3 linked regions of the Oryzias latipes genome follow. The protein of the gene in region 3 binds, or shares a complex with, the protein of the main gene of each other region. Links are inferred from orthologs where the notes say so. Each region holds a gene or a part of one and is shown on either strand. Other genes may lie near its edges.

Region 1 (3,500 bases), on a different chromosome or scaffold from region 3:
TTAAACCATTTTCAAAGAACATTTTGTTACATAAACATGTTTTCTCAATGACTTTTGTGTAAAATTGTTGATGCAAATTTAGAATTATTATGATCAATGTGGGAGGTCTTATTGTAGTGATTTACTAAAGTGCAGTTCTGAGGCGTCACAGTGGCCATTCATCAGAAAACGAACCAATTGAGCTCAAAACATGAGTTTTGGCTTCAAATCCCACCCGACCTCAAACAAGGAAGCAAGGTTTGGGGTTAGAAAGGCTTAGTGAACAAAACAAACACAAAAATGAAGTTTGGTCTACTGTGTTTAAAAAAAAGCAGTTTTTGTAGATTTAAGTCCCTGCCTGGTCCTGTGTTTATTTAAGTTATAAAAATACATCTCTATGAAGCTTTTATAATAAACTACTGTGTCAGTTCAACATCTGGATGAGTGGGTGTGTGGCAGACAAAAGCAAACACATTTTCATCGCCCCTGCAGCCCCATGTTTTTGACACACATCTGCAGAGTGTTTGCAGCGGTCCGGTACCTTTCAGGGCTTTCTGACGGCATGCTGCCGAAAGCTTCCTCTGGTTTGGGGTCCGGGATGGGAATGATGTACTCATTATATGAAGTTACGACTTCCTGCCCGTCTGCTTCGTGCCTGCGCTCTCCAGGCCTCTGGCTCTGGTTGTTGGCTGTGGGACCGGGAGAGGAGGAGAAGGCAACAGGAGACAGGGAGCCAAATGTGGGGTCAGCGACGGGAAAGGGCGAGGTCCGGCGGGGTTTGGTGCGGGCCACTGCCGGGTGGTCACTCTTCAGGAAGTTCTCGTTCACTTGGCTGTATCTCTGTTTTTGGAAGAAATGCTTGCTAAGCAGAATAATGTGGCAAAAGCTGCTGAGTCCTTCTAAAGTTTACTCTATTTTTACTTATAGCAGTTTACTACTAGTAATTACTTAACTAATAGTAGTTAAGTAATAGTCTACTTATAGTTTGGATATTGTATTTTAAATAAATGAGTGGACCAACAAACAAGAGGCTGTCCCAGAATTGGATTGCAGAAGTGGATTATTAAATTCTAAAAAAAGTATATAATTGGGTCAAAACAAGAACAATTCTGTATATTTTTAGATCTGATAGGATGAAGATGCGGAGATTTTAAAATGACAGCATCATGTTAAGTTTCCATCAGCCTGATGAAAGCGGTGAACATGGAAGGAGCTTTAGGCACTGATCTCATAAAAGCAGCTCCTCAAATGTCTTCGTTCCAGCTTTGCCAAATGGGTCGCAACAGTAATTAAGAACCTCAAATGCAGCATTCATTTTGGGGATATCAGCTCTGGAAGGCATTTGCAGCAGATGTGCACTGACACAAAAACTTTATTTGTTGTATTTCTATAACATCTCCAGGTACATCAGGAACTCTCCAGACTGTTACAAAAAAAGCACTCAAACTGACAAAAGCAGTTTTCTCCTCACTGCTTTAAAAAAAGGTTCTAAATTTTGGCATGGATAAGGCCTACCTTCTACCCATCATCTATCTTTTTATACTCTCTCCTGCTAGCTAACAGCCCCTCACAACCCCAATCTAACATTACCAGCGGGGAAAAAAATGGCGAGCAAAATCAGAGTTAAGTCGCTGTACATTTAAGCCATATTCCAGCTGAAAACAAACATGTACATGGATCTAGTTGTCTACGACTGGATGCATCAGAAAGGAGCAGAGCAGGGAGCTTAAGTCTTGCCAAAGTTATTTGTGTGCCCCTCTTACAAGCTTTTTCAGTGGCATTTTGCGTCTGCTTTTAATTCACAACACACTGATTCACAACAAGTGGAATACATAAATACTCAGAAATGCAATTTTAAGCTTAATTTACTTTATATACAGCATGTAATCCATTATCAGAAAAATGCCACAAGTGGGTCTTTAACTGAGCACTTTTTTATGTTTAAAGCATTTTAACGAGAAGCAAAGTAAAGCAACAGAGTTAGAGATTCAGAAGTGAATATTAGAGCAATAACTGATGTTAAGTGGATTAGCATGGATTCAATACCTTCTTATAGCTGTCTGTCAGCATGTTTCCCACGTTGTGAACCAACAAGGAGAACTCAGGCCTCTTCTCAAACTTTTCATCCCAGCACTTCTTCATGATTTCATACCTGCGTCACAAACGTAATTTTTTTTGGTATAATTTGTAGGCATAAAAAGTTCTACGTTTAACAACTGACAAAAACTCACACTTCATCTGAAGCATGGGGAGGTTTGGCCATGCGGTATCCTCTTTTCAGTGCGTTGTAGAACAGTTCGTTCATGGGCAAATCTGGGTAGGGGGTTCCTCCTAAGGAAGAACAAGAATGGTTTTAAGCTATGCCAGAACTTAGGAACCCTTTTTTGAAACTACAAAGTCTGACTTCTGTCAAATATAATCAATCCCAAATGTGTAGTTTAAAGAAATGACCACTTTTCCCAGTATGTTTTAAAAGTACTTGGATTTTCATTATATAAAAAAAAATGTATTCAAAATTTAAAATAATTAGTTATTAAAGGTGAACATTTGGACACATGCAACAAGACATTTTATACACATGTAAATCTATAGGAAAAATATGATAAAAGTCCAAATGAAAGCTGACTTCCAACAAGCAAACAGAGACTCTTTGTCACTTACAGAGGCTGGATTGTAAGTTTGTTTTTTTATGACTGGAGTTAATGGTTGAAATGCACTAAACTGTCTCCTTTGTTTCATGGTAGCTTCCTTAGATCTATTGTGGATTAAAAGAAAAAAAATACATTTCCTAGAGCAAGAGAAATGTAAAAGCTTGACTGTAGCTAACAGGATTTTGGGTCTTTAAACTAACTGGTATGTTCTTGGTCAGACATGGACTTGGAACATTTGGAGCACTGTTTTTTGTTATTATTTGAGTTCAACACTTAAAAATTGATCAAATGGGAAGTTTATTTAAAAGCTATGTGTAAATCCCCTGCATGCATGAAAACTTTGTTTGAGGGTACAAATAGTGTGCGCTTTATGAACGTGTGGTCGGACTCACCCAGAGTGAAAATTTCCCAAAGGAGTATGCCGTATGACCACACATCACTCAGGGTGGTGTACAAATTATGAAAAATGCTTTCTGGTGCCATCCACTTCAGGGGCAGGAAGGTCTAAAAGAAAGAGAAATACACTGCAGCTTAGATGATAAAGAACCTCATTTTTTCACAGTCAGGAGGGTTAAAAGATTCCACTTTGCTTCTTTCTGACTGTTGTGTAATAACCATTTATATCTTATTTGTTAAAATGCTGTTTTGCTGGAGAACCATTTCATTTTGGCAGAGTAGCACACATTACATTACGACTTACGCTTCCTTTGGAGATGTAATTGGAATCATGCATTATGTCTCTGGCCAGGCCAAAGTCGCAAATCTTCACCAGCTTGCCTTCACAGATCAACACGTTCCTGGCAGCCAGGTCACGATGGACGCACTGCATTGGAAAAAAAGTAAATTGAGTTATTCTTCCTCTTTCCTCGA
Region 2 (3,500 bases), on a different chromosome or scaffold from region 3:
CTGGCATTTGTAGATTGTTGGGATATTTGGCCTGTATGTTTTGTTGTTTTTCTTCCCACACTAGATAAATACAGTTCCTCACCAAGGTCTGTGCTTTGTAACAGGGAGAGTTACCATATTTCCAATCTTTTAAAAAAAATGTCTGCTTGAGTTGTTCTCCTAAAATGTGAACAAAGATGACTGCTTATAATCCAAGCAATCCTATTTTTTGTTGTAAAACAAAAGCAGTTTTGAGTTAATAAAAACATTTCTAGTCAATTCCGGCACTTGTGTTCGCTCCTTTTTGCTATTTAGGTTTTGTGTAAGAATCTGCAGAGAAAAAAAAGGGGGGAATGCTTTTTTTATGTGTGTGAAAGTACTAATCTATACCACCTACACCATCTCTGAGAGCTTCCATTCCTCCAGCTTTCCTAATGTTCCTTCCTCTAATATCTGCTCGGCTCTGAAGCGCTCTGCGTGTAGTGTGGCCACACATTACAGAGGAGTGGGAGCTGGGTCTCACACACAGAGAAGTGCAAACAGAAAGAGAGCCAAGGACATTCTTTTACAATAACAGCCAAAGAGGCCTATCTGAAAAAAAAAATATGTCTCAATTTTTATCCTTGAAAAGTCTGTTAGCTTGTGCGTCTTTAAAGAGCCAATATGAAAAATTCTGTTCAAGAGGAGCTCAATGTTAGTATTTTTTTCCTGAACTTGAGGCATAGCTGCTGCAAGGATGACAGAGCACCATAACCAATGAGTCACTTGACAACTTTGACAAGTGTCCTCTTCTAAAAAGAACCTGTGCAGTCCCTTATGTCAAACCTCACTTAAAAGCTGATGCATTTTACTGCTAAGGAGCAAGAGAAATTGGAACTAGAAGAAAAAAAGGGCTGAAAGACTTATAAAGTACTTGGGGCTTTGATTATGCTAATAGCAAACAGAAAATATTTACAACTTTTATAGCAGAACTTGGAAATATTCAGCAGTGGCTCATTAACTCATACATGTTAATGGACAACAACAGAACTATGATTATATTTACCAATAAAAATAAAATAGCTAAAATGTCATCCATCTGGTGGGTTCCTAGGAGAAGTGGAGCTTGACTGTGTGGAGGAGTTCAAGGATCTCATATCACTGGACATATAGGTCTCCTTAAAAAAACATGTTCAAAGCACCAGCAAACTAAAGTCGGATTTTTAAAACTTTAGATTCATTTTCACATAAAGACTTTTGTATTACGATTTTTGCCCTATACTACAGACAATTAAAAGACGAAAAATGCTTGTTACAGTGCTCTTTGTGTATGCATTTTACCAAAAACTAACAAAAGGCCTGGTGCAGGATGGTAAGAAGTATTGTCAAACAACAACTTTTGAATAAAAAACTGTTGCTGAGGAGATTTCAAGTTTAGAGCAGCGAGTTATTAATTTCCCATAAATAAATAAATCCTGAAAGCTAAATGGAAAAAAAAATGTCATGTTGCTCTTTAACTCACATTACAAATGGTTAGGGAGTCGTTTTGACTTTTAAGTTTTTTTTTGGCTGATTAATAAAATAGCTAATGTTAAAACATTGTTTCTGCTTAACAATAATCAGTTTTGTTTACTGTAGAGTATTCAACTTCCCTGAAACGAACATTGACACAACAGTAACAGGACTTGTAATTGTTAGGAGTACAATAACGACTTATGGGGCAACGCTTACCATCGTCAGTGGGGTTAAAACCACAGATGTCACAGATGTGGCGAACCCACTTGTTCATTTCTTCCTCAGTGTCAGCCACCAGGTAAAAGACACGGTCGATGGTCTTAATGTCGAAAATGAAGCTGTGCTCCAAATCCTTCTTGCTAAACGTCAGCCCAGCATCAACCTAGGGTGAGACGTCAACAGAGTTTGTCTTACAACATAGTGGTTCAGTATCAAGGTGACTGAGTTTGATCTGTGTTAATAACAAAAAATACAGTTTGGTGAACAAGTCTTGGTTTTTTTGCCTGTTCGTTTAAGAGACTTAATTGTTTTTATGCTTTCAGTGGCCTTGCCCTGAACTCTGAGCTCTTACAGGCACACACCTCTCTCCCAGTCCCTTGGGTCAGCTAATCAGCTGCTCCTGGACATAGCAAAGGGCAACACTTACACTTCCTCCTTAAGCCTAATTCAGAAAGAAAAAAAAACAGAACTGCCCCCAGACTGTTTTTTAACACGTGCTAAAATAATGATTTTATCATTTTCATTTACTGTTTCAAAATTGTTTTTAAATTGTATGCAAGTGGTTTTACTTGAGTTTTTTAATTTTTTTGGGGGTTGTTTACTTTACCATGATGTTTTGTAGAGCTTCCCAAGTAACCATGAACCATTTTAACTACCATCACTTGTCAGAGATTCTCACTGGTTTTTGTGCATTTTAGGCATTGTGATATAACATCTTCCAGAAACTTTCTGACTCAGACTCTATTCTTGTTTTTCTAGGAGTCCTTTTCATTATGTTCAGGTACTAAGTCACTGCTAAGAAATGGTATTTAAAAAAAGTGGAGTGAGAAAACATGATTAGAATTAAAAACTACCCAGTGGTTAATACATTTTGCTGTTTGTTTTTACTATTTTCTTTTTACTTGAAATATTTTAGAATGATGAACTTAGTTCTGGATGATGCAACTATTGATTTTTTTTAAAATAAATGTTTAATTATTTCGTGTGTGCCAATTCTTTTGGTCCTCAATATTACATGAAAAGGTAACTGAATGAATAGAACATATAAATAATAATCATACTGTAAACAACTTTATAATGGCTAAAAGTAAAGATTTCCCTACATTTCTTGGAAGTTTTCCTTCTGTTTTCCCCCCCTCATTCTTCATCCATAAAACATTTAGCCACACAATTAAACTTTGAATAAATTAGGCTTTACTGTTGCAATTTTAGTTTTTTGAGTCATTTCTAAGTCATAGTGATTATATTGTGTATTATTTAGCTTAGTTAATTGATACTATATCTCTGGTTAAGTCCGAATCAACCCTTCACCCCACCCCCAGTTATACAAACAGCCTTACCTACCAAGTTATACTGAAGTTCCCAAGAAGTGTTCATTTTCACAAATATAATGGCTTACATAAATGTAAAAAAATGTGGAATGAACTATAAAGCTAGACTAGCAGGCTTTAAACAAACCCTCATTTAAGAAAGAAAAGAAAAAGAACGTAGCAAGTATCTCCACTGCATCTACAGCAAAACTGTCACAACACAAATCGAGTGTTTCCCATGGAACAAGGAGTAATACCTGCTCACACAAGTTGAGATCTATTACACGAATAGGCTTCTTGGTGTGGTCATTCTTGTAATACTCCAAGACGTCTGGGTCGCCTGTTAGACGGCCACTGCGAAGAACAAACCATCGCTTCTTCCATGCCTGCAGGGTAAGCACAAAAATGAGGCCAAAGGTTATACGCATGTTCTCACACTGACTGTTTCATTCCCAGATGACCACAAGCTGACCAAAAGCTTTATTTATGTCATTTTCA
Region 3 (3,500 bases):
CTCACGCCGCCCCCCCCGAGGGGTTTCCGTGGAAACAATAGAATAAACAGCTGGATTGGTTCCACGTGAGAGAAGCTTGGGTTTATGTCTGCGTTAATGCAGAGTGTTTGTCCTTTTCCTGCCTCCGTTTGTTTAAAGAAAAACATTCAAATTCAACAAAAAAAACCTATAAACTTTAGAAAGTAGATGTATTTACATTTAAATGGATGGAAAGAAGGCATTCCTGCACACCTTCCCTGTGGCGGGACATTTGGTTTGCATGTTAACACCGTGTGTCGACATGGATCAGAGGATTCTTTCCTGTCGTTGACACTCGTCTGAAGAAACCAGCCAATTATCTTTCAAATAAATATATAAAAGTCTGTAAACACCAAGTTTCTGTTCACCGTTTGCATGAAACATGTCTATAATCTCTTCCTGTCTGTTCCGTAATGTCTTCATGTTCTAATGTGGCGCCGTCTTGACCTTCAGGAGCGACCTTTGCACTAAATGTTTTCTGCTGTGGTCTGCAGCCGCTCAACACGACGCGCATCAACGCAGCGGAGATCGAAAGCCGCGTCCGTGAGCTCAGCAAGCTGGCCGAGGCCACGGACAAGGTGAAGCAGGGCTTCTGGGAGGAGTTTGAGGTGAGTGGTCTGAGAAAGAGGAGCAACCTGCTTTTACTCTGAAGGCACAGGGAGCGTGCTTTTACTCTGAAATCCCACCGTAACCTCAGCGGCGGCAGCAGCACGTTTAACGGTCAGAATCATGAAGGATCTTTCTGATGTGCTTGATGAGTGTTTGTACTGGAACTCAAAAGACATTCCTCCAACGTTTAGGCTGAATCTGAATTCATCCCCTACCCCGACATTTATCCCTCCAAGACGGTTATGGAAAATCCGGACATGACTACCACTCCATGACATCATCAACGGTCGCCGGTCTCCCCCGCTGGCGTGTAGCTGCCATAATACAGTGGTTTATAACTTTAAAACGTTGTCATGGAAGCCAATACTTACATTTAGTCATGAACCTCTGTGCTTCAGAGCACACCCGCCTAAAGAAAAGCCTTTTTCCTGGCGTGCCAGCGAGACGCGGACCCCCCCCACCGGCAGAGGAATACCCAGCCGTGGGTCACTGCGGCTCCTCCTCAAAGAAACACTTTCAGACACCCCTACAGCTCCAAACGTCCCTGCAATGTCAGCAGTCTGGGGAGCCAGAGGGGAAGTCCTCATCATGTCAGAAGACTTTTATTTTGAAAGCAGATGGAGCCGGTTTCCTGTGTTTTTTTCCAGAAGTTCAGCTTCAATCACCTGAAGAAGAAGAAGTGTAGTTTTGGCTTTAGGGGCAGCAGTCTTTGTGTTATTCTAACAGATCAATAACCATGAGGAGTGATTGCTGTGCAGAAATGTCACTTCATCATTTTCTGAATTTACTTTTAAAAAAAACAAAGTATTTGGGAAAAAACTACACTCAAAAAAGGGATTCAAACCCTCTTTCATGTAACAACACAAGTAAATGCCGTTTGTTTTATTTAAATATATTTATTTTAAAAATATGTATCTATATTTAATTGACCTAACATAAAATGTATTAATAGTTTCACCTATAAACTCCAGTATTGAATAAATAAATTCATAATTAGGGGGCATGCTGTGCACATGTGCAGACTGCACCTTCTGCAAAATCATTTCTTCTGTGATTCTATTCTTTAATTGGTTGGATGCTGTTTTCCTCTTTCTCTTTATTTATTCTTCTTATAGTATCTTCCGCCGTTTTACGGCTACAATTTTTCACCTATTTTAACCATTCAACTATTAAAACGTTCAGCTCTTTCGTCTAATGCCTGCCATGACTTTTGGTCCTTCAAATCCTTTGAACTTTTGTTCGTGTTTTTCCACGTAAAAAAGGTACTGTGGCTTGGAATGGATTCAACTGGGTTTCTCCCAGTAAGATCAAAGACGACAAACCTCATTTATGTAGAAAATGATTCTGTCTTTATAGTGTTGGATGCCTGAGGCCACAGGAGAGTCGGCTCAGTGGATCAGTCTGTCTGCATGTGGAGGTTCTACCTTCCAGAATAGTGTCACACCATGTTTTTTGCTTTGTCTTCTTGATAAAATTGAGTTCGACTAACTCGATTATATTTCATTACATGGAGGAATTTTTTTGATTTGGTGCGACTCATATTTATTGGATGGAAATCCTGCCCACAATTAAATTGAGTTCATCCAATTTTTTTGAGTGTATAGACGTGTACAGATATTTGGAATAACGTCCTCAATAAACTACAGTTGTTGAAAAAGCGGCTATGATGAATAAAATAGAATAATAGAATTTGTGTTTACATGAACGTGCAGCTTCACGTTTGTGTCGGCGTTTTCTGCCAAACGCCGCTAAAGCTGTGTCCAGAAGCAGATCTGAACCTGGAGTTTCCTCTTTTCTCTGCATGCAGACGTTGCAGCAGCAGGAGTGTAAACTGCTGTACAGCCGCAAAGAGGGACAGAGGGCGGAGAACAAGAACAAGAACCGCTACAAGAACATCCTGCCCTGTGAGAGCCCCCGGCGCCGCCGCCACTCCAGGCCGCTCGACCCCGCCCTCTTCTCATCTGCCGTTTGTGTTTGCAGTCGACCACACGCGGGTGGTGCTGAACGACGGGGACCCCAACGAGCCCGGCTCGGACTACATCAACGCCAACATCATCATGGTGAGCCTCCCTCTCGCCGTCCGGCTCTGCGGGTCCGTTTGCGCTCGGGTTTGTGCAGCTTCTGGTTCTGCCGGTTTGCAGCCGGAGCTGGACGCCAAGTGCAACAGCCACAAGCTGAAGAAGAGCTACATCGCCACTCAGGGCTGCCTGCAGAACACCATCAGTGACTTCTGGAGGATGGTGTTTCAGGAGAACTCGCGGGTCATCGTCATGACAACCAAAGAGGTGGAACGAGGAAAGGTGAGGGCCGCCGACAAGTCTTCCATACATTTATCGCTTCTTTTTAGCAAAATCTTTTGGAGGCTTTCAGCTTTTTTTGACCAATGTGATCTGACCGTTTTCCTTTCTTCCCCTTTGAATTCCTTTGTGGAATATATCAATATATATAAGTATAATATCTATATAAAACTGAGCATATACAGTACATTCACAGCTTCTCATTCAGTGTGTCCAAACTTTTGGTCTGTACCGTAAATATGCTTTTTTCATTCTAAAAACTCCTTTTTGTATTAAACTTCTTTCTAATCATTGAAGGGTTTTAGATAATCTGAGTTTGTTTGACTGAATCCAAACAAATGTCTGACTCCAGGGGCCTGTTTCAGAAAGGAGGTTAAGTGTAAACTCTGAGTGCGTTAACCCTGAAATCAGGGAAACCCTGGGTTTTCCGTTTCAGAATGGGAGGTTTGTTAAACCAGAGAAAGCAGAGTAAGTCAAACCCGTTTCTGAAAGAGAGGTAACTTTTACTCGGAGTCAGTATCCATGGTTACTTATGCTGTGAACCTAACCTGGTCGGGAGCAGGTTTTATTCTCTAA

Evidence for each region.
Region 1: the proteins of ptpn11 (region 3) and pdgfrb are in contact, whole or in part, in a crystal structure (PDB 1AYA), measured with the Mus musculus proteins. The link is inferred for Oryzias latipes from reciprocal best matches to the Homo sapiens genes PTPN11 and PDGFRB. Residues at the interface, in NP_001103462.1 of Mus musculus: Gly13, Val14, Glu17, Arg32, Pro33, Ser34, Lys35, Ser36, Thr42, Thr52, His53, Ile54, Lys55, Leu65, Gly68, Gln87, Leu88, Lys89, Glu90, Lys91, Gly93, Ile96; in NP_032835.2 of Mus musculus: Ser1005, Val1006, Leu1007, Tyr1008, Thr1009, Ala1010, Val1011, Gln1012, Pro1013.
Region 2: the proteins of ptpn11 (region 3) and gab1 are in contact, whole or in part, in a crystal structure (PDB 4QSY), measured with the Homo sapiens proteins. The link is inferred for Oryzias latipes from reciprocal best matches to the Homo sapiens genes PTPN11 and GAB1. Residues at the interface, in NP_002825.3 of Homo sapiens: Gly13, Val14, Glu17, Arg32, Pro33, Ser34, Lys35, Ser36, Thr42, Arg47, Thr52, His53, Ile54, Lys55, Leu65, Gly67, Gly68, Tyr81, Gln87, Leu88, Lys89, Glu90, Lys91, Ile96; in NP_002030.2 of Homo sapiens: Lys623, Val625, Glu626, Tyr627, Leu628, Asp629, Leu630, Asp631, Leu632, Asp633.

What each region holds. Positions count from the first base shown.
Region 1 is NC_019868.2:16,278,139-16,281,638, reverse strand, and holds part of pdgfrb (platelet-derived growth factor receptor beta), read right to left. Parts: intron 3,454-3,500; coding exon 3,331-3,453; intron 3,135-3,330; coding exon 3,023-3,134; intron 2,311-3,022; coding exon 2,211-2,310; intron 2,132-2,210; coding exon 2,026-2,131; intron 820-2,025; coding exon 521-819; intron 1-520. UniProt on the Homo sapiens protein: Tyrosine-protein kinase that acts as a cell-surface receptor for homodimeric PDGFB and PDGFD and for heterodimers formed by PDGFA and PDGFB, and plays an essential role in the regulation of embryonic development, cell proliferation, survival, differentiation, chemotaxis and migration.
Region 2 is NC_019859.2:18,118,041-18,121,540, forward strand, and holds part of gab1 (GRB2-associated-binding protein 1), read right to left. Parts: intron 3,389-3,500; coding exon 3,260-3,388; intron 1,856-3,259; coding exon 1,690-1,855; intron 1-1,689. UniProt on the Homo sapiens protein: Adapter protein that plays a role in intracellular signaling cascades triggered by activated receptor-type kinases. Plays a role in FGFR1 signaling. Probably involved in signaling by the epidermal growth factor receptor (EGFR) and the insulin receptor (INSR).
Region 3 is NC_019870.2:1,412,429-1,415,928, reverse strand, and holds part of ptpn11 (tyrosine-protein phosphatase non-receptor type 11), read left to right. Parts: intron 1-512; coding exon 513-626; intron 627-2,434; coding exon 2,435-2,531; intron 2,532-2,607; coding exon 2,608-2,687; intron 2,688-2,768; coding exon 2,769-2,927; intron 2,928-3,500. UniProt on the Homo sapiens protein: Acts downstream of various receptor and cytoplasmic protein tyrosine kinases to participate in the signal transduction from the cell surface to the nucleus. Positively regulates MAPK signal transduction pathway. Dephosphorylates GAB1, ARHGAP35 and EGFR.